Linked DNA regions of Arabidopsis thaliana. The protein of the gene in region 1 interacts with the protein of each later gene in a pairwise test. Each region holds a gene or a part of one and is shown in the gene's direction. Other genes may lie near its edges. The genes, in order: AT5G46630 and AT4G11380.

Evidence for each region.
Region 2: the proteins of AT5G46630 (region 1) and AT4G11380 interact in a protein complementation assay, tested with the Arabidopsis thaliana proteins (one study listed by BioGRID).

Annotation. Positions count from the first base shown.
Region 1 is NC_003076.8:18,913,675-18,928,219, forward strand, and holds AT5G46630 (Clathrin adaptor complexes medium subunit family protein), read left to right. Parts: upstream 1-6,763; 5' UTR 6,764-6,905; coding exon 6,906-6,988; intron 6,989-7,155; coding exon 7,156-7,333; intron 7,334-7,448; coding exon 7,449-7,539; intron 7,540-7,663; coding exon 7,664-7,758; intron 7,759-7,911; coding exon 7,912-8,001; intron 8,002-8,085; coding exon 8,086-8,134; intron 8,135-8,226; coding exon 8,227-8,365; intron 8,366-8,440; coding exon 8,441-8,557; intron 8,558-8,628; coding exon 8,629-8,719; intron 8,720-8,810; coding exon 8,811-8,953; intron 8,954-9,048; coding exon 9,049-9,163; intron 9,164-9,251; coding exon 9,252-9,386; 3' UTR 9,387-9,497; coding exon of another isoform or gene 9,498-9,578; 3' UTR 9,579-9,771; downstream 9,772-14,545. Other genes in the region: AT5G46610 (aluminum activated malate transporter family protein), read right to left, coding at 1-106, 216-359, 440-561, 849-1,121, 1,342-1,482, 1,777-2,062; AT5G46620 (uncharacterized protein), read right to left, coding at 4,176-4,349, 5,179-5,454; AT5G46640 (AT hook motif DNA-binding family protein), read left to right, coding at 10,996-11,512, 11,629-11,684, 11,851-11,982, 12,066-12,227, 12,325-12,618. UniProt on the Arabidopsis thaliana protein: Subunit of the adaptor protein complex 2 (AP-2). Adaptor protein complexes function in protein transport via transport vesicles in different membrane traffic pathways.
Region 2 is NC_003075.7:6,915,461-6,932,276, forward strand, and holds AT4G11380 (Adaptin family protein), read left to right. Parts: upstream 1-5,028; 5' UTR 5,029-5,147; coding exon 5,148-5,234; intron 5,235-5,431; coding exon 5,432-5,474; intron 5,475-5,544; coding exon 5,545-5,567; intron 5,568-5,701; coding exon 5,702-5,899; intron 5,900-6,016; coding exon 6,017-6,130; intron 6,131-6,255; coding exon 6,256-6,506; intron 6,507-6,820; coding exon 6,821-6,956; intron 6,957-7,105; coding exon 7,106-7,285; intron 7,286-7,381; coding exon 7,382-7,474; intron 7,475-7,560; coding exon 7,561-7,772; intron 7,773-7,859; coding exon 7,860-7,923; intron 7,924-8,020; coding exon 8,021-8,200; intron 8,201-8,296; coding exon 8,297-8,389; intron 8,390-8,542; coding exon 8,543-8,925; intron 8,926-9,043; coding exon 9,044-9,233; intron 9,234-9,314; coding exon 9,315-9,518; intron 9,519-9,684; coding exon 9,685-9,984; 3' UTR 9,985-10,116; downstream 10,117-16,816. Other genes in the region: AT4G11373 (Serine/Threonine kinase catalytic domain protein), read left to right, coding at 4,199-4,303; AT4G11385 (uncharacterized protein), read right to left, coding at 11,627-11,817, 11,867-11,975, 12,087-12,218; AT4G11390 (Cysteine/Histidine-rich C1 domain family protein), read left to right, coding at 12,432-13,739, 14,183-14,245, 14,373-14,438, 14,528-14,623, 14,811-14,918.

The DNA of each region.
Region 1 (14,545 bases):
GACGTCGGTTTCTAATGCTTGCGGCAAGTTCCGATAAAACCTTGCAGATTTCTCCAGCTAGTCGTACGCAAGGATCCTTGAAGAGTCCACGGAGAGGCCTCGGAGTCTTGAAAATTAACAGAAACAACATTATATATCAATATACAAAAACTGAACTATAGCTTATAACTAAATATAATTTCTAGTTTCAAAACAAAAGAACATTTTAAAGTTACCTGAATTTCGGTTTTTAAGCAACCATGAAGAGCAACAACAGTGTAACCAAACTGACGAAGAACAGATCCAACTTTAACATAATGTTTCCATGGAAATCTATGACAATGTCGTGTGTGTCTTGGCTCCCAACTTGCATACATTGCCTATATACACATGTTCATATACATTCAAGTTTTTGTTTTCATTCGAGTTTTGAAATAAATTTTCGATAGAAATTACTTACAAGTGCTTCATCGGCGGATTTGGAATCCAAAACAGTCTTATATCCGTTATAGATCGTGTCTTCTGACAAATCTGATGTTTCTTCGTCTTTCTCCTCCTCTTCAAAGTACTCATTCACACATGCTAGTAAAAAATACCGTATATTTAATCAGCTTAACTAATTGGAACAATATAATAATAAATTTTTGCACTTAAAAACAACAATATCGCAATATCGTTACAAAATATAAAAATGATCGAAATTAGCAAGATTTACTAACTCAATTATGAAAATATATCTACTTTCTTATTTCTTGATTCCAAACAAAAAAAACTCTAGATTGCTAAAAATTTCACATTGAAAATAAGATGAGGCCGAAAGTATAAAAAGCAATCTATTTAATTTGAATATATAATATTTAAGTACATACCTTCGATGGAATAGGAGAGGCCTTGAAGCTTAGCGACGGTGGATTTGTGAAGGTCCTCACCAGACCAAATAGGAAAAACCAAAAGGCTCATGAGCAGACAAATACCAACACCCATGGCTATAGTATAGAATCTCTCATGTGCAATTTTAATCACGGTATCAACTCTATAACTCGATACTGTTATTAGATTGAACGTCAAGAGAAATATAAGCATGCCGTAATCGTAGTTCTTTTTAATGTATGGAATAAATCTCAGATATGTTATCAACGCTCCTGTTACATTAACAAAACAAGTAGTTAATACAAAAATTGTCCAAAACAAATGAAATTATAGATATCCCAAGTTTTGGAAACTATTAATTTGTTAGGGTCTTATAGTAATGTCACATTACTAATTTATTTTGATTATGTGATAATTAAGAGTTAAGTTTCGTAAACTATTCGTTTGTTACAACGTGGATTGATTGTGTAATAATTAAGAAAGTATTCATACCAATGATAAAAACTGCGGCGCCAATGAAAATAGCTCGGAAAATCTTGCCGGAATCATTAGCCACAAATTCTATGAAAAATGCCAAAGATCCAGCAATTAGTGTCCCTAATCCTCTATTAAGCCCTTTGCACAACGTTGCACCTGAATTATTAAACACCATTCATTTACATCATTTAAATAACTTAAGCTTATACACAAAATATTAACGCTCTAATCATTTTAGCTATTGTTATGAGCAAATAATCTTTTCATGCCTTCGTTTTTTTTATTTACACCATCAAAACGACAGACTAAACCCGATATAAACTAGTCTATGAACTAGGAATTTCTCGCAAATGGATCATGAGAATATTATACAACACATGGATTCTTGATTGAATCCAAATTAAAAAAAAATATAAAAAATCTACAAGTTGAATTAAATGTTATAATTACCGGCAGAGAACTCTAGGACGACAACAACGGTCATGACTGCCCAAATAGCACTGTTTCCAATGCCTTTGAAGAGAGGCTCCATGAGATACAATAAAGACACAAGTGTTAACGAAACTCCTACTTTCAAAGCATGTTTCACTCTCCTTGGATCATCTTTTCCAACTTTCCATATATTCTTTAGAATCTTCTTGATCTTTGTTGGAAGTTCAAGAACCTTTGTCTTCATGTTTTTAGTAGAGCCTTCTTCCTCCATTCCCATGCTCCTTTCATGGACCCTGTCCGACATTGTTTTTTGTCTTTTTGGGTTCAAAATTAGAATTATTGAATATGAAAGAGAGTTTAGGTGTTAGTGTACTATCTATATATAATTGTATGCATATACGTATACTATGTGCAACGCATAGACACGAGACTAGTTAGCCCGACGAAGCAAATTATAATTCAATACGTGTGTTTTAATTGTGTGTCTGTCTATATATTGTCTATGTGTATCAGTGTATGTGTGTATAATTTATTTAGTTATCACAATATTTTTTCTGAAAACATAGCAATAGTAATTTAGATAGTAAAAATAAATATATTTACAAAGTTACATTTTGTATTTATTTTTTTTATTTTTTTTTGTGAACTCAATAATTCATAACATAAAGAGAACAAATGGATTTTAATAGCTATTTTCTTGATAATGTACAAGTGACGAGAGACTGGTTTTCACATGACTTGCAATAATATGATGGTGGTTAAAGAAATTTTTATTTTCTCTTTTTTGCTACATAAATTGGGGAAAACAAAAAGTCAAGATATATTAAAACTAATTTGTGGCCGTTCATTAAAAAATACTATTAATGACGTTCCATATTGAACTTGTTAAATTAAAAAACGAATAAGTTTTAGATTCACCATTCATATTCATGCATGTGTCACTCAATTCATTCATCAAAATAAATCAAAATACATTGTTGTGCGCAGATCTTGATCAGATATCTTATTTTGCTGCATTATGTTTTTTTTTCTCTGACAGAGTAAATTAACAAATCTACATCTAAATGTAGGCAAGATAATTGTGATGATGCTAGAGTCATATAAAACCAAAATTTATAAGTGGTTTCAAGTATCAGACAAATGAAAATGAGTTGGATGTGTTTCAAATTTCGTTGTCCTTTTTTAACCTAACACATTTGAAAAGCTTTATTATACACAAGTGAAAATAAATTTGATTACGTGGGTGAGAATTTGTTATCAACACGACTAAGACTTATAATTTGTCGTGTTAGGTTGAAATATTACTATTTGTCCACAACCTGGTGACAGCAGAAGACCGAAAAAGAAAGAAAATAATATCAAAATATTTAATTTAATTGATCTACCTATGACTCATCGACGTAATAATCATACAATTACTAGTATAATATAAGGTAATCATCCAATAATAAATGTATATTTAATGAGTAATGACGGCGATTATGACAGACCTAATATAAAACTAAGCCCACTAATGTTATAGTTTCATCGTAGATATTTTATTTTTCCTAAGTCCTTGGCTTTAAACTATTTTATTAACATTTTAATTTCAATCACATAGATACTGTTGTTAATTAGCGATTGACTAACAAAAATATTACAAGAATATACGAATTTTTTTTTTCACGCCGTTCGGCAAATTATATTCTTGTAGATATTAGTATTTTTCTACAAGTCTTGTAGTTATTATTTTAGTTATTATTTTAGTTGATGTATGTTTATATATTAAAAATCCAAAATAAATCATCACCAATTAGATTCATTGTTTGTAAGAAAGAAAAATAAATTAGATTCATAGTATTTGAACTTTCTCTAACATACTTTTCAACTAGGTAAGCTTATCAGAAAATCAATACTTTAAACTTTCTTTTTGAGAAAATGTTATTTTCTATTTCATTTTTTTTCATTGCATACAAATATATACTCTGTTACCTTTATGCAAACAATATAGCCAAAATCTTTATAAGTTTCATAACCAGTTACGATTTTCAAATATTATTTACTTCTTTAAACTGCTTAGATTCAGATGCAATATGAATCATATATTAATAATCATTCCTTGCTATTCAATTTATAACAAGAATCTAAAAACATCATATCGAGCGAAAATTGGAGGTCTTGTATAAGAAAAGGATTCATATGTGTGCAAAACAGAGAACTTGGTAGTAGTAGTAGAAATACACAATTGCACAAATGTGTTTAGATAATCCCAAAGAGAATCACTGTCTATTTTCAGAAACTAAATTCACAGTTAAATAACATTATAAGTTCTCAAGAATCTAATGGATTGATATCGAAATTAATGAAACACAAGTTCTAACCTTTCTCTGATTCAATCACACACTATTCAGCAAATCTTTCTCCTTGGTTTTCATTGTTCAATGCATTAATGGCTGAAGTTTCCCATCAGAAGATATCACTAAACCTCTCACTTTTGCAGCTTTTGTTTTGCACTTTCTTGGTAAAGTCTTGCAGTTTTGGTCTTCTAAGAACTCATCTGCAACATCTCCGTCTTCATCAATCTTAAGCCGCATCGAGTACCAACGTAGTCCCTGATCCAAATAAGAGGTTCGCTAGTAAAATTCTCGGCTCAGACTCTAATTTGAGTCAATGCCATCAAGAAGAACTCAATGAACCAGATACACATAATCGCAGAAAGATAACTGAATAATCTTGGCAATATAAATCTTCTTGCTTATTATCGTCTTTCTCTACCAATATAACTAATTAAGATTCTTTAAGGTCTTTATTTTAGCATGGGTGGCTTATGATTAATACTTGTTTCGAGGAACTTTCTTCTGCCGCAACTAATCTTACAACAAGCTAAACCACATATCCCTGACATGGCAGTATCTTAAGGACTATACATTAACTTTACGAGCAAAGATGAATGAACAGAGAGTAAGAAAAGACAATGAACTACAATTACAAAGACATCAAAATCTATAAGATCATTCAGAGAATTTGGAAAAACCATAAAGAAATGACGAATGTAAAGTCATCTACTGAAGCATATAAAGTACTTTTTATGAAACACAAGCATATCGAAGCCAATCTTGAGGCCATATTAAAGTGAAAAAAAAGCAAGGCACCCGCACAGAACATGAAATGAATGTAGGCCACAGAGACGACTGAATCTTCGCAAACTCACAAACCAATTTATTATCCAACTTAGTGTGATCCAAACCAAAGGTATGAATACACAATCCAGCTACAGAACTAGCATGAAACTGCACTATGTGATACCACATTACAGATCTTCGTAAGACTTAACCATAACTCTTTATCTAGCTAGCAACAAGTAATTCACATATTCTCATGAATTTGATCAATCCCTAGAGTTTCACTAACCAATATCATCAGTCAAAAAGGAAAACTGACCTGAACACCACCGTCTAAAGCAGCACAAGGCTGAAGAATAGGACCAGGATTCGACCGTTCAACAGCAACTTGAACCGGTACACCAAAACCTTTCCTTGGTCCAGTTTCACGAAATCTCGTCTGATTCTCTTCCCGACGTTTATCTCCATCACCAGAAACAGTTCCAGTGTTGTTATCTCCACCATCACCATCTTCATCTCTCACAGCTCCATGACCACCACCACCATCGTTATGACCAAAACCAAGTATACCCGTTAACTTCTTCAAAAAACCCATTAACCCCAGATATCAAATTCGATCTAAAGCCCTCAAATTTAACAGCTTTTCTCTCAAATGAATGATCTTCCAAAATTAGGGTTTTCGAATATCCCTTTCCTCTCCCGATTTTTGCTACTTTCTCCGATCGCTTCTTAATCCAACAATATTCATTTCCTACTGTTAAAACCCAGAAATCTCTGTCTTTAATCTCTCTCTCTCGTGAACACTGTGTTAATCTTCTTATGCACTGCAACAAATTATAGAAAGATGAATTTTTTTTTGGATCAAAGACGGATCGAGCAAGATCTTCTTTTTATCATTAACGGCGCGGTTTCTATTAATATACTAAATAAATATTCCACATTTTTTTTTTCTCTCGTGAGTGAACAAAAAAAAAAATTGCGATCATTTACAGTTTTACTTTTACACATCACTGACATCAGAGAGAATTGAACAAAAAAAATTCGAAAAGTTTCGTGTTAATCATATATATGAAAGTTGGCTAACTCTCTCCAAATGATTGACACATCATCATTTTAGCATTTGCCATGTGTCTATTAAGTAATTAATGTAAGCTCTTCAACTTCTAATTTATAAGTTAATGATATATTTATTATTTAATTTTACATATTTAATTATAGTATTACTAAATTTATTTTAATATTACATGATTTTTCAATAAAACCATTTAATAGTTTTCTCATACTCGAAGATTTTTTTTTGTAATCCAAACTCAAAGTATGAGTATATAATAGTCGTGGATTATTTAATGATTTGAGTAAGTTATTTTCTTAAATTGATATTATATTCTCTTAAATTTATATTTATACAATAAATCATTGAGGTTGAAGAATACGTAAGGAGCTCCATCATCAAATTCTTAGGTTTCTAGAATCCAAAACTACCCTCTCTTAAGTTGGTTTAATACAAACGTTATTTATGAATTATGTGTATGATGCATTGTTGAGAATGTTGTTAGAAAAAATATTTTTAAAATTAAAAGGAATTGTTTATTGTATAAGTGAATAATTAGATAAATAAAAATTATATTTAAATTAAACAATACGAAAAAAATCCGAAAATACCGCGGCGTAGCGCAGGTGATCACCTAGTGTTAATAATTGAAAATTAAGAACTTCTATACATTGTTTGTTACCTAACCATTCTTCATATGTAAACAACAATTAAAAATGATGAAGGATATAATGTACTACAGGCCCATAATTGAGACGCACAGGCCCAGAATCGAATAAGACCGGCCCATTCCAAAATGACGACTGAATTCAATTTTGTTTCTATTTTTTGATAAAAAAGAAATTAAAAAAATATCGCATTTCAGTTGTTCAACTTCTTCGTCGTCGTCTTCTTCCTTTGCTCCGTCGTCGAGATCTCGTCGAACCTCAAATCTCAAATCTCCTGTAACCAGATCGTCTAATTATCCGATCTGCGTTTCGAATCTCAGATCGAAGATGCCGGTGGCTGCTTCCGCCATCTATTTTCTGAATCTCCGTGGCGATGTACTCATAAATCGCACCTACCGAGATGACGTCGGGTAAGAGAGCTTCTCCTTTTCTTCACCGTCGATCTCTTTAATTTTTTGAATTCGGCTTCATTTTCAGCTCCATGTTTTGTTCTTATCGCTTCTAAGTAGTCGTACTTTGTAGGATTTTAGCTGTGAGATTTGAGATTTTAAAATTTTGATTTGATTTTGATACTTAGGGGAAACATGGTGGATGCATTTCGTACGCATATAATGCAGACGAAAGAGTTAGGGAATTGTCCTGTGCGTCAGATTGGTGGCTGCTCCTTTGTTTATATGCGAATCAGCAATGTCTACATCGTCATTGTTGTCAGTAGCAATGCTAATGTTGCTTGTGGATTCAAATTTGTTGTTGAGGTAAACTTGTTTTTGTGTTTCATTTTAATATTCCACAATTGTTTTGATTCTTGTTCAAATTTCAAGAGAGTCAGATTGATTCTATACACATACTGCTTTTGATTCACATTTTCAGGCTGTAGCTTTGTTCAAATCATACTTTGGTGGAGCTTTTGATGAAGACGCTATTAGAAATAACTTTGTTCTGATTTATGAATTGTTGGATGGTAAGTAAGCCTGATAGGGTCATGATCAAATCACTTTCTTATCACTTGTAAAGTTGCATTAGTCGTTATATGTTATTCTATTTTGTGGTAACACCAATGAATGATATTTTGTATTGAATTGCAGAGATTATGGACTTTGGCTATCCACAAAATCTCTCACCTGAAATTTTAAAACTTTATATCACTCAGGAAGGTGTACGGTCACCATTTTCATCGAAGGTAAAGGCATCTATTTGTTTGTGTATACAACAGATTTTGTAATTGTGTTGGTGTGTGGTTCTTCGAAGTTAAGCAGTATTTCCCGCAATAAATAGAGATTATGTTGCTTCTTCACTAGATATGTTTGCATTCATAAGCTTCTTTTCATTACAGCCAAAAGACAAACCTGTTCCAAATGCAACATTACAAGTTACAGGTGCTGTTGGTTGGAGAAGAGAGGGCCTTGCTTACAAAAAGAATGAGGTGAGTGTTGAGTTTCTTTCTGTGTGTATGTAGATCGGCTAGGTTGTGCGGTAGTGATGATATTTTGCATTCTCTCAAACGCAGGTGTTTCTGGATATTGTGGAAAGTGTAAACCTTCTGATGTCCTCTAAAGGTAAATAATTGCCTTTTATGAAGTTTTTTGAAGTTGTCTTTCTTGTTGATTTGCTGTGTATGACTGGTTTTGCATTTTATGGAAACGGTTAGGCAATGTTCTTCGGTGTGATGTGACGGGGAAGGTTTTAATGAAATGTTTCCTTTCGGGAATGCCTGATTTGAAGTTGGGGTTGAATGATAAAATTGGTCTTGAGAAGGAATCAGAAATGAAATCTCGCCCAGCTAAGAGGTATACGTTGTTAATACATTGAACATCAGTAGCCACTGACTTTTCTTTGTGCTAACTGACTCTCGTTTTGTGCAGTGGTAAAACCATTGAGCTTGATGATGTCACATTTCACCAGTGTGTGAACCTGACCAGATTCAACTCCGAGAAGACTGTTAGTTTTGTACCACCGGATGGAGAGTTTGAACTGATGAAGTAAGTTTTCGAATGTCCACTGTTGCAAATTGTTCTGGTACCAAATGTGTATTAACTTTATGATGTCTCAGGTATCGAATAACAGAGGGTGTAAATCTGCCTTTCCGTGTATTACCAACAATCAAAGAACTTGGTCGTACACGTATGGAAGTAAATGTCAAGGTACATAACTTTTCTCAAGGATTACAGGATACAAAAAAATTGGCTTGATCTTTGCTCTCTTACAATCCCTTCCCGTGTTTTGTCTGTTCAGGTCAAAAGTGTGTTTGGTGCTAAAATGTTTGCCCTTGGGGTCGTGGTTAAAATTCCAGTGCCAAAACAAACAGCCAAGACCAATTTCCAAGTGACAACTGGTCGCGCTAAATACAATCCATCAATCGATTGCTTGGTTTGGAAGTGAGTTTATATAATTTCCCCTCATATTCATCTCTATAATTCTTTTGTTGGTGTTTTATCAATCATTCGGCATCTTTCTCTCTTTTACTCTTTAGGATAAGAAAATTCCCAGGGCAAACAGAGTCCACGCTAAGTGCAGAAATTGAGTTGATCTCAACAATGGGAGAGAAGAAATCTTGGACAAGGCCACCGATCCAAATGGAATTTCAGGTCAGTCTTTGTCTCTTTTAGGCACTGTTAAATAGAACCAGATTTGCTTAAAGCAATTATTAACCGTCTCAGCTTTGTTCTTTTCTAGGTGCCAATGTTCACAGCATCTGGTCTGCGAGTTCGTTTTCTCAAGGTACGCATTGTTATCTATGCTTTTGAAAGTACCATCCTTCCAAAAAATGCAATGCTAAGTAGCAGAATCTCTAAGCCATTGTGTCATTAAATCCGTTCAAATCTTTTATGTGATTTGCGTTTTGGTTAATCTGTCTCTGGTCTTTCAAAAATTGATTGCTATACTACTTTTTTGGACCTGACTATCCGGAACGATTGGCAGGTTTGGGAGAAGAGCGGTTACAACACGGTCGAGTGGGTTCGATACATAACGAAAGCGGGATCTTACGAGATCAGATGCTGAACATTAAACACAGTTCAGGTTCAGTGACATCAGACTTAAAAGTTTCATGGCTTCTAGTTTTTTGTTCCTTATGCAAAACAAAAACAAAAGAGTTAAATATGTTTTATACCTTGTTTTATGTTTGTTTTGTCGATTAGAGATATCTGTGTTAATATGATTTCTTATGTCTTAATTTGGTATTGAATTCTGTTTTTCTTTCTTTCTCTGTTTGTGAAATTGTACGAGATATAGTTTAGATTAATTCTGGTGTAATCGAACGTGATAGAGTATTTGTGAAAGCAGTCGGATTCTTTTTAGTAGTAGAATCGGGTGTAATATGTTAATGAAAACAAATTTTACTTGAGAATAGTTCGAACTTCGAAGGTTTTTACACATAACATAGATCGTTAAAATCTTTTGTAAGTCTACTAATTCTTCAGAAACAAACGGGAAATTGTAAAAGTAATAGACTATCAAAGCTACACCCAAGTACGTCTTTCACTCGTGGTTGGTTATGCATGATCGAATTTCTATAACTTCGCTTATGGCAAATGTGGTCATGGTGGTTCTTTGGACTGTGTCATGTGGCTCTCTGCCCACAAGACACCAGATATCATGGATACTTTGCTACTCACATGCAACTCAAATATGGTCTAAGACAACAAACATGATTCTATTGAACTGCTTCTCCATCGATTGGGATCACCTCGTCGGTATTCTGAAATCCACAAGCTGGGTGTCTTGTTTTTGCATCACGTTACTTTTCAAAGTTCCCTATAATGTTTGACGAGAATGCAACAACCGACGACATGGATACCTTCCACAAATATCAATAACGAATTCTGAAGTTTAAGGATTTTTAACTTCAGAATTCGTTATTAATCATTCACAAGTTATTGTGTTATTTTTTATAATATATCCAATGCAAATACTCTTTTTTCTCATCTCCAAACTGAAGTATTTTTATTTTTATAAACTCTTAATAAAAACGGATGACCACAAATATTTCTGCTATAATTTGGATGATAATGAAAACAAACCAACTACAATCTACTAAAGATTCAAAAATATTTTCTCGAATGCTTAAACCTCACGTAAGTAAATACCAAATCAATTCAGATAAAATTAACAAAACAAACTCAAATAAAATCTCCTAAAAATCCTATAAATAAAAAGATGATTTCATTTTTTTTCTTCCTATTAAATTTACATTTTCCGCCACACTTCATCTCTCCCACTAGTCTCTCCTCGAGACTCTCTCTGTATGTGTGCGAGAAGCGAGAAGCGAGAGAGAGAGAGAGAGAGTTGTTAGCTCACACGCTTTCTCTATTTTCTCGGAATTCACAAAACAGAAAGTTTCATCCTTTACGAGAATTAAGCCGAAAGAAACAATCTTTGAGTTTGATTTCTTCTTCCTTCCTTCTCTCTCTCTGCTCTAATGGATTCCAGAGACATCCCACCGTCACATAACCAGCTTCAACCACCACCGGGAATGTTAATGTCTCATTACCGTAACCCTAACGCCGCCGCTTCACCATTAATGGTTCCCACTTCCACATCTCAACCGATTCAACACCCTCGTCTTCCTTTTGGCAATCAACAACAATCTCAAACGTTTCATCAGCAGCAACAACAACAAATGGATCAGAAGACTCTTGAATCTCTTGGATTTGGTGATGGATCACCTTCTTCTCAACCGATGCGATTCGGGATCGATGATCAGAATCAGCAACTGCAAGTGAAGAAGAAGCGAGGAAGGCCGAGAAAGTATACTCCTGATGGTAGCATTGCTTTAGGTTTAGCTCCTACGTCTCCTCTTCTCTCTGCAGCTTCTAATTCTTACGGTGAGGGTGGTGTTGGAGATAGTGGTGGAAATGGAAACTCTGTTGATCCACCTGTTAAACGTAACAGAGGAAGGCCTCCTGGTTCTAGTAAGAAACAGCTTGATGCTTTAGGTATAAGCAAGTACTCTAAAGTTTGAATCTTAACACGTTTTGTTTTAGATTACATGCAATTTGATTTGATGGGTTTGTTCTGTTTTGTTTATGTGTGTGTGTGTGTGTGTGAGTAGGAGGAACTTCAGGAGTTGGGTTTACACCTCATGTCATTGAAGTGAACACAGGAGAGGTAAAAAGTTGTTGTTCTGTCTTAGTTATCTGAAAATGTGTTTTGTTTCATGTTTCAGGATTGGTAAGTTAGAAATGTTTGAAATAAATGTATTGGTTTAGTGAATTTTGATGGAGGAATGAGTTTTAAATGATGTTGTTATGTTAAATTTACTTACTATATTCAGGACATAGCGTCAAAGGTGATGGCTTTTTCGGATCAAGGGTCAAGAACAATTTGTATTCTCTCTGCAAGTGGTGCAGTTTCTAGAGTGATGCTTCGTCAAGCTTCTCATTCTAGTGGAATCGTTACTTATGAGGTTTAAAATTATGTTCTTTTGATGTCTTTAGTTTTAGTATTTCTGTCTTAAGTGTTTAGATTTGTATGTGTGTGCTTTTTCAGGGACGATTTGAGATCATTACTCTCTCAGGCTCAGTCTTGAATTATGAGGTAAATGGTTCCACCAACAGAAGTGGTAACTTGAGTGTGGCTTTGGCTGGACCTGATGGCGGCATCGTAGGTGGCAGTGTAGTTGGTAATCTAGTAGCTGCAACACAAGTCCAGGTACAGAATATGAACTCATGTTACAGAATCCTTAATATTGTGTTCGGGTTAAGAAGACGGTTTCTTTTATGTTCATATGCGTCCTAATGTGATATAGGTGATAGTGGGAAGCTTTGTTGCAGAAGCAAAGAAACCGAAACAAAGTAGTGTTAACATTGCTCGGGGGCAGAATCCTGAACCGGCTTCAGCGCCGGCTAACATGTTGAACTTTGGATCAGTCTCTCAAGGACCATCGAGCGAGTCATCAGAAGAGAATGAGAGCGGTTCTCCTGCAATGCACCGTGACAATAATAATGGGATATATGGAGCTCAACAACAACAACAACAACAACCTCTTCATCCTCATCAGATGCAAATGTACCAACATCTTTGGTCTAATCATGGTCAATAAAATGAAGCGGAAATTAATTTGTTTCCGTTTTGGTTACGGTTATGGTTTGATTTCTTGTTGTTGTTTAGGCAAATCTTAAGAAGATTCAAGCTTCATGGTTTTTTGTAGCTTTTTTTTTTTTTGTTGGGGGTTTATTAGATAACATATAGAGAGATCTAGATATTAGGGTCATTTTAATTTTTTTTTTTTTTTTTTGGGGGTTAATTCTCTGTGAGTTGATTTGAATTAGAGATAAAAGTCTGAGATTCCTTACTAGAACAATATATATATTCCACATTAAAATATTATTTGTTTTCACAAATTTTGTAATTATTTTTAAAAAAATTCAATATACCGTAGTTCTTTAATCCAAATTATTTTAAAATGTTTTTATATCCCTTAGAAAGTTAGAAAGAGCTCAGCTGTTGGATGTGATTTAAAGAGATGATGACACGTGTGAAGGTTTAGCAAGCTAATAAGCTCCTCCCGAGATCTACTGTTGATAAAGCTGCCTCGTGTTGATATAACGAGCCATGCGATTAAAAGAGAAAGGTACTTCAGAGTACCTCAGATGTGGGAATCATGCATATCAACAACAAGCTCATCATCATCATCATCAAGTGCAGTCGATCCTACTCGTACTCTGGCCTATGTGTTACCACAGCCAATGTTTAGACCATAGAGCTGAGAGTAACGACTGCAACCAACTTTCATTTTTACAAGATATATCAGTTTGTCGAGTTATTGTAGTTAATACGTTCATATTTATTGGTGATGTCAGGTGATTTGGTTAGATTGATTGATTAATTTATTTGCAAGATAAAGAGTTTTAGAAAGCAAAAATAAGTGAAGTCTAACTCCTATTAAACCAAAATGTTTTTAGAAAATTAGAGAAACGCATCACATATGGGGACTATGCATGTCATCAGTTATCCGAGATGTTGTTGAAATTCCAAACATTTTGATCAACAAGTAATTATTGAGTTCTGATTAATTCATTATTTATACTATTAATTTTGAAAAAAAAAAACTAAACTTAAAAAAAGGAACTTATGTGTTCAACAATTTCTTAAATAAACTGACAAACAACTTCTTCCTTTAACCTTTATACAAAATAAAACGATATTACAGTCCAATGTATCTTATTATTTTTTTTTTTTTTTTGCTCAACATCAACTATCATTAACCAATCAAGTTTTACATCTTATCATACTCCACAAAGGATTTAACCTAATTTGGCATTATAGAATACAACTGAGAATCATAATTCTCGAGAGAAAGAGATTCCTTTGCTATCCTATCTGCCACTCCATTGCCTCCACGATTCGTGAACACGAATTTTGTTTCCTCAAAATGCTGAAGCAGGTGCTTGATATCTTGTATAATCAGATCTAGTGCAGGTCTGTCCCCATTATCAACAAGGAGGGATACCAACTGTTGGGAATCAGATTCAAAAATTACCTTTCGGTAACTGAAGCGAGAAAGTGACAGCACCGCCCAACGCAAGGCTTCAGCCTCCGCAACCAAAGCGGATTGGACTCTTGGAATAGCCCGAACACCTATCCAAAGCACATTCTTTTCGGAGTTTCTAAGCACCCAGCCAATGCTACTGGTGCTTCGGTCTGCAGTCCAAGTTCCATCTGAGTTGCACTTAACCCAACCATGTGGGGGTTGCTTCCATTTGACCGCAGGTGGCTCAGTTTTCTCTATGTGCTTCGGTATGAAACTCCGCTGCATACTCAGCCTCCACTCCTCTTCATCCTCTATTGCCCGCCGAATTACATCAGGTGCATCAAATTGTTTCCCTTTGAAAACAAGGTCATTGCGATTCTTCCACAATCTCCACAGGATCCATGGAGCTACCAGTCCATCATCACCCAACCATGGATGACACTGAGTTATGTTCAATAATTTGTGCAAGTTTTGGTAGAAGGAATCTGACCACTCA
Region 2 (16,816 bases), on another chromosome or scaffold:
TGGATGTTGCATAAACTGAGCCAGAGTGTGAACCGAATATGATAGCTCAGGACGGGTAACAGCCAAGTATATAAGTCTCCCGACTAAGCGACGATACCTTTTAGGATTGGGAAGTAAAACAGACTTGGATAAGGACAGTTTGTGGTTCTGTTCCATCGGAAAAGAAGAAGGTCTGGCGCCTAACAGACCCATTTCTGATATAATATCGAGGACATATTTCCTCTGAGACAAGTAGAAACCATCAGCATTCCTTGCCACTTCAATTCCCAGAAAATATTTCAGCAGACCCAAATCCTTCATATGAAAGCAAGATTCCAAATAAACTTTGAAACGTTCAACAGCGATGGAGCAACTGCCTGGGATGATCAAGTCATCAACATAGATGAGAACGTGAACACACGTCCCATTGTTGTTGTAGCTGAAAAGAGAGTAGTCCGATAGAGACTGTGTGAAACCATATTGAATCAAAGCCGTGGAGAGTTTCGAGAACCAACATCGCGGAGCCTGCTTCAGACCATAGAGAGATTTATGTAGACGACATACCTTAGTCGGATCATCAGAATGAAAGCCCTGAGGCAACTTCATGTATACCTCCTCCGTCAAATCTCCGTGTAAGAAAGCATTATGTACATCCATTTGATGTACATGCCAGTCACGGGCCGCAGCTACTCCAAGAAACACTCGGACCGTACTCATCTTAGCAACATGAGCGAAAGTCTCATCATAGTCAACACCCTCTTGCTGACGATTTCCCAAAACCACCAAACGCGCTTTGTATCTCTCTATTGTCCCATCAGAACGATACTTAATCTTGTAGATCCATTTGTTGCCAATTGCCCGCTTCCCAGGGGGTAAATCCACGATGGAGAATGTTTCATTGGCTTGGAGAGAGGTGATTTCATCAGACATTGCATCACACCAAACTTTTTCAATCACAACTCTATTATACGTTGTCGGTTCCACACCAGCAGTTACAGCCGCAAGAAAAGCTTTATGAGCCGATGAGAAACGGCTACTGTCAATATAGTGCTCGATTGGATAAAGAGACGATGAATCCGCAACTACATCAGGTTCCACGGTAACAGTATTTGTAACAAAGTGTTTTAGAGTTACCGGTTGCTGTTTTCGGCGATGACCACGGCCAAGCGGTTCAGCCTCTGGGGGATTTGGCTCAGAGTTCACCGGTGTTAGCGTTGGTTCCATTGGAAGTGAAACTGTGGATTCTATTGGCTGTTGCGACTCTTCTGGTGTTGTGTCGAGAGAGACACCAACTAGGGTTGAAAGAGAATCATCTGCGTGGGCCTGAGTGGGAGATAAAGTTGCTGGGCCTTCTGAAGAAACAATAGTCGGCCCATTTGGTACAAGAGAAGGAATTAAACTTGTTGTGTTTAATTCCTGGCCCATACGGCCCAAATCGTGATCATCTTCTCCACGAGGGACTTCTGCAAAAGGAAACTCTGTTTCCTTAAAGATGACATCTCGAGAAATCATGAACATTTGATCATCGAGATCAAACAAACGCCATCCCTTTTGTCCATGAGGATACCCAACGAAAACACATCTTTTCGTTCGAGAGGCAAATTTGTCGCCTTTATGATTTTGATTGTGGGCATAACACAAAGATCCAAAAACACGAAGATGAGCATAATTCGGCGCCTTCTTATGCAGCAGCTCATAAGGAGATTTTCCTTGAAGAAGCATCGATGGAGTTCGATTTATCAGGTATGCAGCAGACAAAACACAGTCCCCCCCAAAATTCAATTGGCAAATGCGATTGAAACCGCAATGATCTAGCAATATTCAAGATGTGTCGGTGCTTTCGTTCCATCCGTCCATTCTGATGCGGAGTCCCAACACAAGAAGTTTCATGATGAATCCCGCGTTATTCAAAGTAATCCCGCATACACATAAATTCTGTTCCATTATCACTTCTCACAGTTTTGACACGGACATTGAATTGACATTCAACAAGAGCAAGAAAACTTTTCAAATGTTTCTGCGTCTCACTCTTTTCAACCATCAAATACAGCCACACTCCCCTCGAGAAATATTCCACTATGGTTAGGAAATAACGAGCACCAGAGTGAGAAGGAGTCCTATACGGTCCCCAGACATCACAATGTATAAGACCAAAAGCTTCCATGCTTCTATTATCACTTAGAGAAAAAGTTTCACGAGTTTGTTTAGCTCTCATACATATGTCGCAGACACTGTCCAAAAAATCTCTACTACTAGACAAAAAATCAGTAGGAATCAAGCTAATTGCTTTTTATGATGCGTGTCCCAAACGTTTGTGCCATAGATCATATGAACCTTTGACACTTGTGCTCACAACTGCTGCCAACTCCATACTTTTAAACAAAAAACTTCCATTCTCTCTTTTACCAACTCCAGTCACCGTCCTCGTAATGCGGTCCTGTATCACAAGAAAGTGATCAGCAAGCTGCACAACACAGTAATTCTCATCAATCATCTGTCCAACAGAGATCAAATCTGAAGTCAATTCCTTGACATAGAAAACGGATTTCAGAACCAAACTGGAACCAAGGCGCACTGTTCCTTCACTCACAGCAACTCGCTTATTCCCATCAGCCAATATAATCAAAACCGGAGAGATCTTGCGCATATCAGTCAACAGATGTAACTTTCCAGTCATATGGTGAGCTGCACCTATATCTAGGATCCAAGAAGAGAAATTAGAACACGTACCCGTTAGAGTCTCATGTCCTTGTTCGTTGGGTTTGATGTTGGCTTCATCACTTTTTCCAGCGTTCAAGAGCTTGAGTACACCACGCCACTGCTCATCTGTAAGACCATTCACCGCATCTCGATCTCTATCAGTGATAACTCGATTAGCCCGTTCCACAGTGGTTAAGCCAGTTGTGACAGCATTCACATAAGAGGTTGGAGTGCGATTTTGTCCTCCATTAAAGCCTAGACCGGGTTTGCCTCTGCCTCGACCAGATTGTCCTCGCGGTCTATCGCCCCACCACTCTGGGTATCCAATGATCACAAAGCAGTTCTCCGGCGAGTGACCGCCACGATTGCAGTGCTTACAAACGTTCTTGTTGGGGAACTTTGCAGAACTAGGATCAATCTGTGGACGAGACTGAGTAGCAAAAGCAGTGACATCTAGCTTTTCTTCCTTAGAGTATCTATTGCTCAACATGTCCTCTTCTTGTCTCACAATGTTGTAGACTTCTTCGAGTCCAGGAAGAGGAACACGTGATGTTAAGCTAGACCGAATTGTATGAAATTGAGTTTCATCAAGTCCATACAGAAATTGTTGAACCATGTCATCTTCTCTACCTTTCTCCTGCTCAGCTTCAAGATTACACACACATCTTCCACATTTGCAGGTTCGAAGAGGACGATAGTTGTTGATATTATCCCAAATCTTGTTGAGTTTTCCATAATATCCTTCAACAGTCATACCCTCTTGTTTACAAGTAGCAAGATCTGCCTTCATCTTCTGATTCTTTGGACCACTAGAAACAGAGAAGCGTTTACGAGTGTGTTCCCAAAGATCTCTAGCCACGTCACGGTGGGAGATATTCGTCAAGAGCGCCGGGTCAATCGTCATCTTCATCCAAGACACTAGCAAAGCATTAATCGTTAACCAGTCCTCGAGGTCCAGAGATTCTGACGGCGGTTGTGGAATGGAGCCGTCAAGAAAACCAAACTTCTTCCGTGAGCGCAGTGCTGTTTTGAAGCCACATGCCCATTCATCATAATTAGTCGACTTCAAGATCGGGTGGGAGATCACAGCTCCAGAGTTATCAGCGACCGTTAAGTCATACGGCGAGATCGTTCGCCGGACTTCAGTTACAAGAGGAATTACCGGAGGAGCAGCCATTACTCCAAAAGAAACTCAAACTTTATCGATTTCAAATGAAAAACCCCAGCTTTAGCTCTGATACCATGACAAAATCAAGAGACAAGAGATAAAGATAAGGTTTTGTCTTGATAGCAGCTTAAGTGTTTCTCAGACACTTATACAAAGAGAAAGCGTTTCAGACCTAAAGGGACAAGAAGGGAAAAGACCAAAAGGGGTTACAAACAGTACATAAAGCAACATTAAGCTTAAGAGCAACTAATTGATGTGCTCTAAATAAGATAAGTAGCAATATCTTCAACAGAGAGATCTTTGCTTCGTTTTGTTAATCTTTTTGTTGGGTTTGATTTGGTCTTTGGTTAGTTGCAGAGTGGGAATAAGCTCCGCGTGTTTTGGTGTCAACTTGTTGTCCTAGTTTTTAGTTTTGTTTCAGTTAGTTCCTGCAATTTCTCTTTCACGTATTTGTAAGAAGACTGAGTCTTCATCTTTAGGCTATTTAAAGCCAAACAACTATGATAATAAAACATCGAAGCATTCAGTTTTAGTCTCTTTGTTCTCTCAGATCAACACTTTTGTATGTTTATGTAGCAAATATGTCATAGAGATTTGAAGATTGAGAAAACACTGCTTGATGGTAGTCTTGCACCGCTTTTGAAAATCTGTGATTACTTGGCTTTGATCTCATAGGTCATTCATTCATTAGTCTCTTTTTCTTCTTTTGTTTCAGTTTTGGTTCCCATTATTACTTGGCTTTGATCTCATAAGTTTTTTTTTTAAGGAAACCCATTTAAGGATTCTACCTTTGGAGAAGAGAATTTATAAAAACTTGACAAAAACTCTAACCTTCAAAATTATTAATATTTGTTATTAAGAAATTTAAAGGATTCCTTATAAAAAACCCACCAATGGATTTGCTTTAAGATCCATTAAGATACTTATTGGAACCTGGAACCAAATCAAAACTCTTTTTTTTTTTTTTGGTTCGGTTCGGTTCAGTTCCAGTTTTATGGCAAAACCTAAGTTTAGGGGTAAATTGGAAAATATTCAAAAGTTTTAGCCAAATATCAAAGTTTTTACTAATTATCAAAAGACACACTCGAGAAATTCATAAATGGGCTAACTTTTATCAGAGAGCCCACTAAACAATCGGCCCGTTAGCCAAGAAAATCGTCACCGGCGTCTTCCATTCCAACATTTCTCCGTCATCGTCTCTCTCTCTCTTTTTTTTTTGTGTGTGCAAAACGTCTCTCTCTCTGTCTCATAAAATCTCAGAGAAGAAACATCGTCGGGTCAGGTCGAAGAAAGGAGAGAAATGAGTGGTCACGATTCGAAATACTTCTCCACGACGAAGAAGGGAGAGATCCCTGAGCTCAAGGAAGAGCTTAATTCCCAGTATAAGGTTTTTTTTTTCTTCTTAATCTTACTCTTGTCTCATTCCATGTGGATCTGTGATCCGCCATTATTACATTCACGATCTCTCGGTCGATGATCCTTCTCTCCTTGTAATTTAGTTATCCTTATACAAATTTTGGTAGATCTGTGTAGTTCTGGATTTTGAATTTTGAATTGAAATTGGTTTCGTGATTTTGTGGGAAGTGCGATGATTCCGTTCATTTTTCAGTAACTGATTGGGATATAGGTTAGAATTGGAGAGGAATTGGTAGGTTTTTGAGAATGGCTAATGTGGAGATGTGTGTGCAATCTCGTAGTAACTTTAGTGAAGCTTAGGTTGGTGAATCAGAACTTGTTCGATCTGGATCAGTGGATTTGGATGAAGAGTTTATGTTAATGATTTAAGAAGGAATGGTTCTTTTCTGCTTTGGCTACAGTTTTGTTAACCCTTGTTGTTTATTTACTGTTGCATAGGATAAGAGAAAAGATGCAGTTAAGAAGGTTATTGCGGCGATGACTGTTGGAAAGGATGTTTCATCACTTTTCACTGATGTAGTCAATTGTATGCAAACGGAAAATTTGGAGTTGAAGAAGCTTGTTTACTTGTATCTCATAAATTATGCGAAAAGCCAGCCAGATCTTGCTATTCTTGCAGTAAATACCTTTGTAAAGGTAACACTCAAGCAACTCAAACAAAACCACGTGGCATTCCTTTGTTCTGTTCTGAACCTGAAGGGGAAAGGAACTGATAAACTGATCATTACAAAATCATTGGTTTGTATTCTGCAGGATTCACAGGATCCAAATCCGCTGATTCGTGCTTTGGCTGTGCGGACAATGGGCTGCATTCGTGTTGATAAAATCACAGAATATCTATGTGATCCTCTTCAAAAGTGCCTAAAGGTTTGAGTTTCTAATGTTACATCTTCATTGGAATCTGATATCAAACATCTTTATTGCCCTTAAGAACCTGTTTCATCTTGACTAGTCCATCTTTTCACTATCCTGTGTATATTTTTTGTGTTTAGGATGATGACCCATATGTCAGGAAGACTGCGGCTATTTGCGTCGCTAAGCTTTTCGACATAAATGCTGAATTAGTTGAGGACAGAGGTTTCCTTGAAGCCTTGAAGGATTTGATATCAGATAACAATCCAATGGTTGTTGCCAATGCTGTAGCAGCCCTTGCGGAGATTCAAGAGAACAGTAGTAGCCCCATCTTTGAGATCAATAGTACCACTCTTACAAAGCTCCTTACTGCTCTAAATGAATGCACTGAGTAAGTCCTCTCCATTTCCGTAGTTTCACTGCATTCTGTTCGATTTTGAGTATTTATGGCCCCATTGTCCAGTCAGGGTTTAGGGGATGTTGATGGTTGTGAAATAGCTTGTTTGATGTGGTATGGCCTCTGTTTGGATATCATTCCGTTGTCTTTGTAACTATTTTCAAACAGCAGTTTAGAATTTTTCGTCATTGATGGTTTTATCTGTAGATAATGACCCAGTATATAAACTTTGGGGAAGAGAAGCATAAAATGAGTAATGGATAAGCTTTTGGTAGCTTCATTTTTAGTACTGACCATGATCATCGCAGGTGGGGTCAAGTTTTTATACTAGATGCTTTATCGAAGTATAAAGCAGCTGATCCCCGTGAGGCTGAAAATATTGTTGAGAGAGTAACACCAAGGTTGCAACATGCCAACTGCGCTGTTGTTCTTTCAGCTGTTAAGGTGAGCGACTTTCATTGATTGTTATCCTCTCTACTTCTAGTTGGTAGCTCGTCAAACTTGATTGTAAAACATCAGGCATCATCAAATGCCTTTGCATATTTTCCTATTGCGTTCTCACTTCTGTTTCATATTTGGTAATTGCCTGACAGATGATCCTTCAACAAATGGAACTTATTACTAGTACAGACGTGATTAGAAATCTTTGTAAGAAGATGGCTCCACCCCTTGTTACATTGCTTTCTGCCGAACCTGAGATACAATATGTTGCACTTCGTAACATTAATCTTATTGTGCAAAAACGACCCACTATCCTTGCCCATGAAATTAAGGTAGCATGACCTGTGTCTCATAGTTCCTCAGAATAAACAACTGATGTATCCGTGCATTTATTGATTATGTTGAAAGTGATATTCTTTTTGTTTTAGGTTTTCTTCTGCAAGTATAACGACCCAATTTATGTTAAGATGGAGAAGTTGGAGATTATGATTAAACTTGCCTCTGACAGAAACATAGACCAGGTATCCTCACTGAGCTCTACCATCTGCTGTGTGTCTTGATTATTATTGGTGCATATCTTTATGATTTTTGAAAATTGCTACTCTAGGTTCTTCTGGAATTCAAAGAGTATGCCACAGAAGTAGACGTTGATTTTGTTAGAAAGGCTGTTCGTGCGATAGGCCGATGTGCTATCAAACTAGAGAGAGCAGCTGAACGGTGCATCAGTGTTTTGCTCGAGTTGATCAAGATTAAAGTGAATTATGTTGTCCAGGAGGCCATTATTGTCATCAAAGATATCTTCAGAAGATATCCAAACACGTAAGTTGACATTTCTCAATCACTGTTGAAATGGCATCTTAAAACTCTTCTTTGATTTTGGTTATGCTATTCAAATATTTCATACAGGTATGAGTCCATAATTGCAACACTCTGTGAGAGTTTAGACACTTTGGATGAACCAGAAGCTAAGGTATTGAACTTTTTTGATTTTGGTTTGGAAAATTGAAATTTACCATCTTCATTTAATCTTAAATCACTGAATTCGGTATCTTTTGGTAACTTGAAAGGCATCTATGATATGGATCATTGGTGAATATGCTGAAAGAATTGACAATGCCGATGAGCTTCTTGAAAGCTTTCTGGAGAATTTTCCTGAGGAACCAGCACAGGTCCAGTTGCAGCTCCTAACTGCTACTGTTAAGCTATTCCTGAAGAAGCCAACTGAAGGCCCTCAACAAATGATTCAGGTTCGGCTTTTTCCTTGCTCACCACTGTTTTTATGATCGATTCATGAGCATGTATGTAATGACAGGCATGTTTTCCGTTATGCTTGATGTTTTCAGGTTGTCTTGAATAATGCTACTGTGGAGACGGATAATCCTGATCTCAGAGATCGTGCATACATATACTGGCGTCTTCTATCCACTGATCCTGAGGTGTGTGTTACCTTGATTTCTTATAGCTTTCTAGTAATCAACCAGTAGAGAATGAATATATTCAGGATTGGTTATTCAAGCAACAAGCAATTTTTATCAGTTGAGCTTTCTCTTGAGATGTATTTGGCTGAACTCATCATTTCTCTTGATTAGGCTGCCAAGGATGTTGTCTTAGCTGAAAAGCCCGTGATTTCTGACGACTCAAACCAGCTAGACCCATCACTTCTTGATGAGCTTCTTACAAATATTTCGACCTTGTCCTCTGTGTACCACAAACCCCCAGAGGCTTTTGTTACCCGCTTGAAAACGACAGTTCAGAAAACAGAAGACGAGGACTTTGCGGAAGGAAGCGAAGCAGGATACTCATCTAGTAATCCGGTTGATAGTGCAGCTTCTCCTCCAGGTAATATCCCACAGCCTTCCGGAAGACAACCAGCACCAGCGGTCCCAGCTCCTGTACCTGATCTGCTAGGTGACCTGATGGGATTGGATAATGCCGCTATTGTCCCGGTTGATGATCCCATAACTCAATCTGGGTGAGTTATGTCTTGATTAATGAAACTTTCTATTGTTGGGACTAGTTTATTACGTTAGGTCAATTTCGGTTGCCTAGTTCATACTGAAACTCATCAAATCTTATGAACTTGATCGTAGTCCTCCTCTGCCCGTTGTCGTCCCAGCTTCAAGTGGTCAAGGTCTGCAGATAAGCGCTCAATTATCCCGAAAAGATGGACAAGTATTTTACAGTATGCTCTTCGAGAACAACTCGCAGTCGGTTCTTGATGGTTTCATGATTCAGTTCAACAAAAACACATTCGGCCTTGCAGCTGCTGGATCTCTTCAGGTAACTCTATCTGAATCTAATTAACGTCTGAAACTCAGGTCTGAATCATTGAAACCAATATCCATGTCTGTACTGTTTCAGATTCCGCCTTTGCATCCCGCAACATCCGCCAGGACAATGCTACCTATGGTCTTGTTCCAAAACATGTCTGCTGGGCCTCCAAGCTCGCTCTTACAAGTCGCTGTCAAAAACAACCAGCAGCCCGTGTGGTACTTCACCGATAAGATTATACTTCATGCTCTTTTCGGTGAAGACGGTAGAATGGAACGTGGAACCTTCCTTGAGGTAACATACTTCAAAACTTGAGCTGTTCATATCGGTTCTGGTTTAGGAAAATAGTGACGACTGTGAAACCAAATCGGTTAGAGATAAATTTATACGGTTTGGGTTTTCATTTGGATATATCTTTATGTTTTCAAAGATTTTAAGTTTTTGTTTGCTTTTTAATCAGACATGGAGGTCGTTACCGGACTCAAATGAAGTCCTGAAAGAATTCCCCGGGATCACCATCACGAGCGTCGAATCAACTATCGAATTGCTCACAGCATTCAACATGTTCTTTATAGCAAAGCGCAAGAACGGGAACCAAGACGTGATCTACTTATCAGCCAAAGATCCACGAGATGTACCGTTTTTGATCGAGCTCACTGCAATGGTGGGCCAACCAGGTCTCAAATGCGCAGTGAAAACTCCCACTCCCGAGATTGCGCCTCTCTTCTTCGAAGCTTTGGAGCTTCTCTTCAAGGCTTGATGATTAACGTTGTTATCAAAAGGCTAATAAGACCAAGACCTGAAAGGTTTCAGAGATTCTTTCTTGTTTCGTTATATCCCACCTTTTTTCTTCTTCTGAGTTTAGTGTATGTAATAAATCCCATGTTTGTGTTACTTCCGGTTGCACCCTTTTAGTTTGGTATTTGTAATGCTCACTATTTTCTTATAATTCTTGTATCGGAACCACATTTTTTTTCTTTCGATATTTAATCCGGGAAATGCTGGTTTCTGAACTAATAAGGAAGATCAAACACCATCAAAGGACCAGATCACCATGGAAAATCAGTGATCTAGCTACATTGGAGCCGTTGATGATGCTAGTGATGGACAATGCCAAAACTTTCAAACATTTCTTTTAGGTGATAGGTACACTTGGGGCTAGAGACCAAAGACGGTTATTCTTGTATTTTAAAATCAGAATTGCTATCAGAAGCATGTGTTTTGTCATGCAGTGTGCAATTTGGAGTTTCTTTCAGGATATGCTAGCCACACTAAGTTTGCATCAGAGTGAAACATAGTAGTATCCTTTTAGAAAGTAAGGCATCGGCTCTTAAGTTAAACACAATTTGGATAGACATATGTGGACATGCAAAAGTTATCGTGGGAGGAGTGTTGGGAAACATATCTCCACCTATATCGTTTGGTCCAGGTACTATAGTTTTGAAGAAGATTATAAGAACAAAGATAAAAGAATAACTCTCTTTTCTTAACTCCATTCACTAATTGTACTAGAATGACAAGCAAAGCAAGTATAAAAAGAGGTTTCCACTATTAAAAAAAAAGAGATATTTTTTTTCACCTTCACTTGTAAAAGTGAACAGAGATTTGAGCATCATTGTATTGAGAAAGGAGTTGCATCAATCATAGACAAAATCAAAACAGAGGTAAGACAGCTAATGCAAAAGCTGATACTTGCTTAAGCTGTTAGACCAACTGTGACACTGGAATTAATCTACTGTGAACGTGGAAGTGGACACTGATGAACATCAACTAGAGTGATTCGACATGAAGGAACGAATGCAAAATTCAAAACTTAACCAACACATACACGTAATTAATTAGCTAATGTAAAAACTAGTACATCGTTAACATGTTACAACAATTGTACACCAGCTACTGGTCTCCGTGCAATGAGGACACTTGATGGTATTAGACTCCATTTGATGGCTGTATTGGGCTAAAATACAATACAAGGTCATCGAAGTGCTTTTTTTTTTTTGGAATGAATAAGTCATTGAAGTGATAGCTTGAGCCTTGATGATTTTTTTTTTTTCCATTTTTTTCGTCAACTAAGGATTCTTTATCTTCATAACTAACCGTGACCTCAAAGCCACTAACATACTCGTTGATGCTAATAATTAAGACAACAAAACTGAGACTTTGATTAGTGGGGCATATATAAATTGTAAATGGTACTTTCTTACATGTATAACCATTTATTTATTAGGGGTCCTGTCTTTTTGTTCTTATCAACGGCTAGTGACTTTTAAAATTGTTTTTTTCATGATAGTTTTAGTTATTTTGTGTGCTTAATTTAGTTATAGAACTATTATAAAAACTAATATATATAATTGTTATTGACCAAGTTATGTAAGAGCATCTTTAAGCGTAAACATTGACTTTTAATTAGAGAGAGATATAGACTTGAAAGGAGCATACCGTTGAGATCTCAGATTCTTCTTCTTCTTCTTCTTCTTCTTCTTCTTCTTCTTCTTCTTCTTCTTCTTCTTCTTCTTCTTCTCAATCTTGTAGTAGGCGACCATGGAATCAGAGGGAGTGTCACTACCGTTGATCCACAAGCATGTCATGATGCCTTCTCATGATCAGCGGAAAGGTGATTGTTGTGGACGCTCAGAATTTACCAGTGGTGGATATTACTGCGAAATCTGTGACTTCTTTGTTCATAGGAAATGTGTTGACGAGTCCTCTGAATATATTAAACACACATCTCACTCTGTTCACACTCTTAAGCTTCAATGTAAACCACACCATATATGTAATTTATGTGGCAAGAGCATCAAGGATCTATTCTATCGTTGTGAGATATGTGACTTCGATGTGGATCTATACTGTGCAAAGTACCCACCACCAGAGGTTATTGATATTTCCGAGACGCATCACCACAAGCTCACCCTTTTCAAGAAGCGGACCTTGGTCGATTGTGGTGCCAGCAAATGTGGGGAGGTTATGTATGGGTTTCCTTACAAATGCCATGAATGTAATTTAGCCTTCCATGTGGATTGCGTATGGAATTCGCCAGACACAAAAAACCTGTTAGAGGTAAACCACTCTCACCACCCTTTACACCCTCTTAAGCTCCACATAGGTCAACCACCAGACTATTCTGATGGTAAATGTCGTCTTTGCGCACAAAAGATTAAAGAGAAATTGTTTTATCATTGTTCCGCTTGTAACTTCAGCTTGGATATGGATTGTCTTTTAAACCCACCACCACAGTCTATTTTGGATTTGAAAGCTCATGCTCACCAACTCATCTTTCGCCCAAGACTTGATTCTTTTACATGTAATGCTTGTGGGTTAAATGGAGATCGAAGCCCTTACATATGTGTTCAATGTGATTTCATGATACATCAAGAGTGTTTTTCCCTTCCACGCCTCATAAACATCAATCGGCATGATCATCGTGTTGCTCGCACATCTGTTCTTGGTGTTGTGAATTCTGTATGTGGAGTTTGTCACCAAAAGGTGGATTGGACCTGGGGCGGGTATTCTTGCCAGAGGTGTCCTCAATATGTCATTCATTCGAAATGTGCTACTAGAAATGATGTGTGGAACGGGAAAGAACTCGAAGGAGTCCCTGAAGAGATAGAAGATATAAAGCCATACGTGGTAATATATGGCAACATAATACAACATTTCAGCCACAAAGAGCACTACCTTAGATTCCATGTTAATGGCTTTTTCCGGGATGGAAACAAGCGGTGCAGTGCTTGCACCTACCCCATTGGTCTCCAATCCTTCTATGAATGTATTGATTGTGATTTTATGCTTCACCAAAACTGTGCTGAATTTCCTCGAAAGAAATGGCATATGCTACACAATGATCGACTTACATTAGTTACAAGCGTAGCCGAATTCTTTTGGTGTATAGCTTGTAGAAGAATGTCCAATGGTTTCAAGTACCAGTGTGGGTATGGGGTGTTAGATGTTCTGTGCTGTTCAGTTTCGGAGCCGTTTGTCCATCCAAGCCACCCTGATCATCCTTTGTATTACATTCGACAAGTGAAATATAGACAATGCTATGGTTGCAACGGTCGAACGTATAATGTGCTGACGTGCATTGAAAGTTGTTGTGGATTTGTCTTATGCTTCTGTTGTGCCACATTACCACAAGTGGTAATGCATAGAGTAGACGATCATCCTCTCTCACTATGCTATGGCGAAAAGGCAAGTGGCAAATACTGGTGTGACATTTGTGAGAAAGAATTGAATCCAAGTACATGGTTCTACACATCTAAAGATCACCGAGCTAGTTTGCATACAAAGTGCGTGTTAGGAGACTTTGCAGGGCTCATGCCAAGAAGCACAATAAAGTATGGCAGCAGATCATATGAGGTGGTGCTCAATAATAGTGTATCTCGTCCATTTTGCAGGGTGTGTGAGTCGCATTGCATGTACCCTATCAGCTTGAAGATGCTTGGAACCTCTGATCCATATATTTGCTCTTTAAACTGCCAAAAGCGTCTCAACTCTCTGGACAACTTGACGAAAAAGGTGATGATAGATCGTTAAACTTTCATTTTAGAATACAATTATTCTTCAATAAAAGGTTTATTTCACTATGAGTTGCTCTCCTTAATGTATCACTAGAAATTTTAATGGCATGATTTCAACCTTCATATGATAAGTTATCTAGAACGTACATTTGGAATAAGATTTTGTAAAGTCTTCAAAGATTTTGAACATGTCCACCCACTGAATTTTAAGGTTACAGACTTGTTATGTTACATATTGTTTTTTGGTAGAACTTGTTATGTTAGTATGTTACACATATGTAGAGACATATTATCTTCCCTTTTTTCTTAATTTCATTTCCTTAATTTCACTTGCATATATGTCATATCAGATCTCTTATGAATGTTGTTACCATAGTAAGCAAATATTAGTGAGTATAAACGACTAAAGAGTGAGTCTTTTTTTTTTTTACTGGGATTCAGCTGGAGGCTCTATATGTTTTGAAAACAACAAAGAAGGAGTCTGATGATGACGATCGAACGCAGGTATTTTCATTTCACTGGCATATGTGTCATTCAGAGCTCTTATGAATGTTGTTGCTCTGTTTCATAGTAAGCAAATATTAGTGAGTATAAACGACTAAAGAGTGAGTTTTTTTCTTCTGGGATTCAGCTGCAGGCTCTATTACTTGCCGAGGAAACAGCAAAGAAGGAGCCTGATTATGCGGATCGAATGCAGGTATTCTAATTTCTGAACATTGAAATTAGTTTGTTGGATTGCAATTAGGGAATGTCTATGACTATGTCGTGTGTATGTTCTGGATGCAGTTGCATTTTGTGCCTTTAGTAAGCTGCTCGATATGCAAACGTTTGGAAGTTGTCGTGAACGATATCAGCCAAACTGGGCATGGAGATCGCTATAAGGTTTTTCTTCTTTTCCTTAATAAGCAAGATAAATACAATTAACTAAACGGACATAAGAAAGAGATGGTACTAGTGTGTATATATAAGCCATGGACATCTTATAGATTGTAACATCATGATCTTCTTCTCTTAGGGGGGAAATAAATAAATCCTAATAATCACATTTTGATTTTGTTTCTGCATCTAGCTGGTGTGTATGTACTGTAAATATTGCTGCTATGCCTCAACGAATAAGGTACTAACTCTGAAAAGACACATATATGGAGGATTTGAAGACCAACGACTCGAACCCTGACAACAATCCTGAAGCCTCCAAGAAACAAGAGTAAAGGGGTTCCAACTTTTAACTTTATGTTTAGAGTTACGAGTCTGAATTCGTCGAACTTGGTTTCACATTTAAAAGTTGATTAACCTTATGACAACAAAAATAAGACTTTGGTCATGGGCATATATCAATTGTCTCTCTCTCTTATAGAACTTATTTTGATGCACCATCTTTATCAATCATTGTCTTTTTGTCTTTGCAACATTCATATCTCTAAGTTTGTCGACCATACATTACCTAAGATTCCATGTTAATGGTCTTATCTCAGAGGAAAACAATTAAACAAGCGTTGCAGTGCTTGCACCCACTCCATTCATCTCCAATCATTCTATGGATGTATCGATTGTGATTTTATTCTTCACCAAAACTGCGCTGAATCTCCTAGAAAGAAATGGCATTTTCTACATAATGAACGTCTTACTTTAGTTACAAGCAAGGATGATTACTTTCACTGCACTGCATGTGATAGACTCTTTTCCAATGGTTTCAAATACCAGTAAGGGGATATGAAGTTAGATGTAATGTGCGGTTCAATTTTTGAACCGTTTGTCGATCCAAGCCATCCCTATCATGAATCAATGATGCTATCGGTGGACAAGGCCGGAAACTCGAGAAAATTATGAATAATATACTGAAATAAAACATGAAAATTGCTTTACTTACACTATTTTTTTGTTCTTAAAACCTAATATTAGCTTCTTATTTTTTTCCAATTTATATTTTGTTGGTTGTCCGTGTCTCAAAACAAGTGCATTTTGGTACTAAATTTTCAGAATTTGGAAATTACCAATAATAAATTATGTGGGATATTAAATAATTAGAGAAATAAAATGTAATACTTTAAAAAACTATTCGTCAAAGTGCGCCGTAGAGGATACAAATGCAAAAAGTCAATAGAAGATGCATGATGTAGTAAAAATGTGGACATAACATACCAAAAAAAAAAAATGTTGACATGATTGACATTTAAAATTTTATTTTAAAAGAGGCACGCAGACAATAAATAAAATAAACTTTTAAGAGAACCTCGCAGCTGCACAAAGAAATGTTGATTAGTTTTTTTTATATAAAAAATTATTGTAAATTAGCTAGAGAATAAGTTCATTACAGATATAAATTAAAAAGATTTCTGAAGATGTGGGTTTTAGATAAATCAAATTAAATTTAAACGAAATTGTATATGTATATACATGTTTCCCAAATGTGAACTGCAAAACTAGTGAGGGGCATGAACTAATTATAAGACAACGAACAAGTAAAAAAATTTGTAATTATAAATCTCTTACCAAAAGTATATGAATGGCACATTTCATGATGAACATGGTAGTATGGTACTTATGGAAAACAAATCACTAGAGAACTTGAATGTTTTATATTTCAGCATTATTGTTAAACACACAGATGAATCAAATTAAGTCCGGTGTATATTTCAGCATATTATAATATGATTTAGCAAAAACTAAATTTGAGATTTCAAAGAGAAAGGGGAATCATAGTATACGCGGTTTGGCATATATCGAAACGATGCCATGTTTTAGGTCTATTAATTCAAAAATTTGGTGAGTGAAATATGCGAAGACTACACTCAACACTCATCCTGGAAGGATTAGTTAGGTGGTATTCGTAAAACTTTGGATCACCTCTGATGATCTGAGAACAAGAAGCTGAGAAAAATTAAAGTTATTACATGGTTGATACTAAAGTATATAAAAAATATATATATATAGTAGATATTAATATAGATATCTAAAAACAATTTGGATGGACATATATGTCGACATGCAAAATTAACGTGGCGAGGAGTTTATTGAGTAAGCTTGGTTCTACACTTCTACTTCCTCATTAGCAAAAAAGTCAACAATACTTTA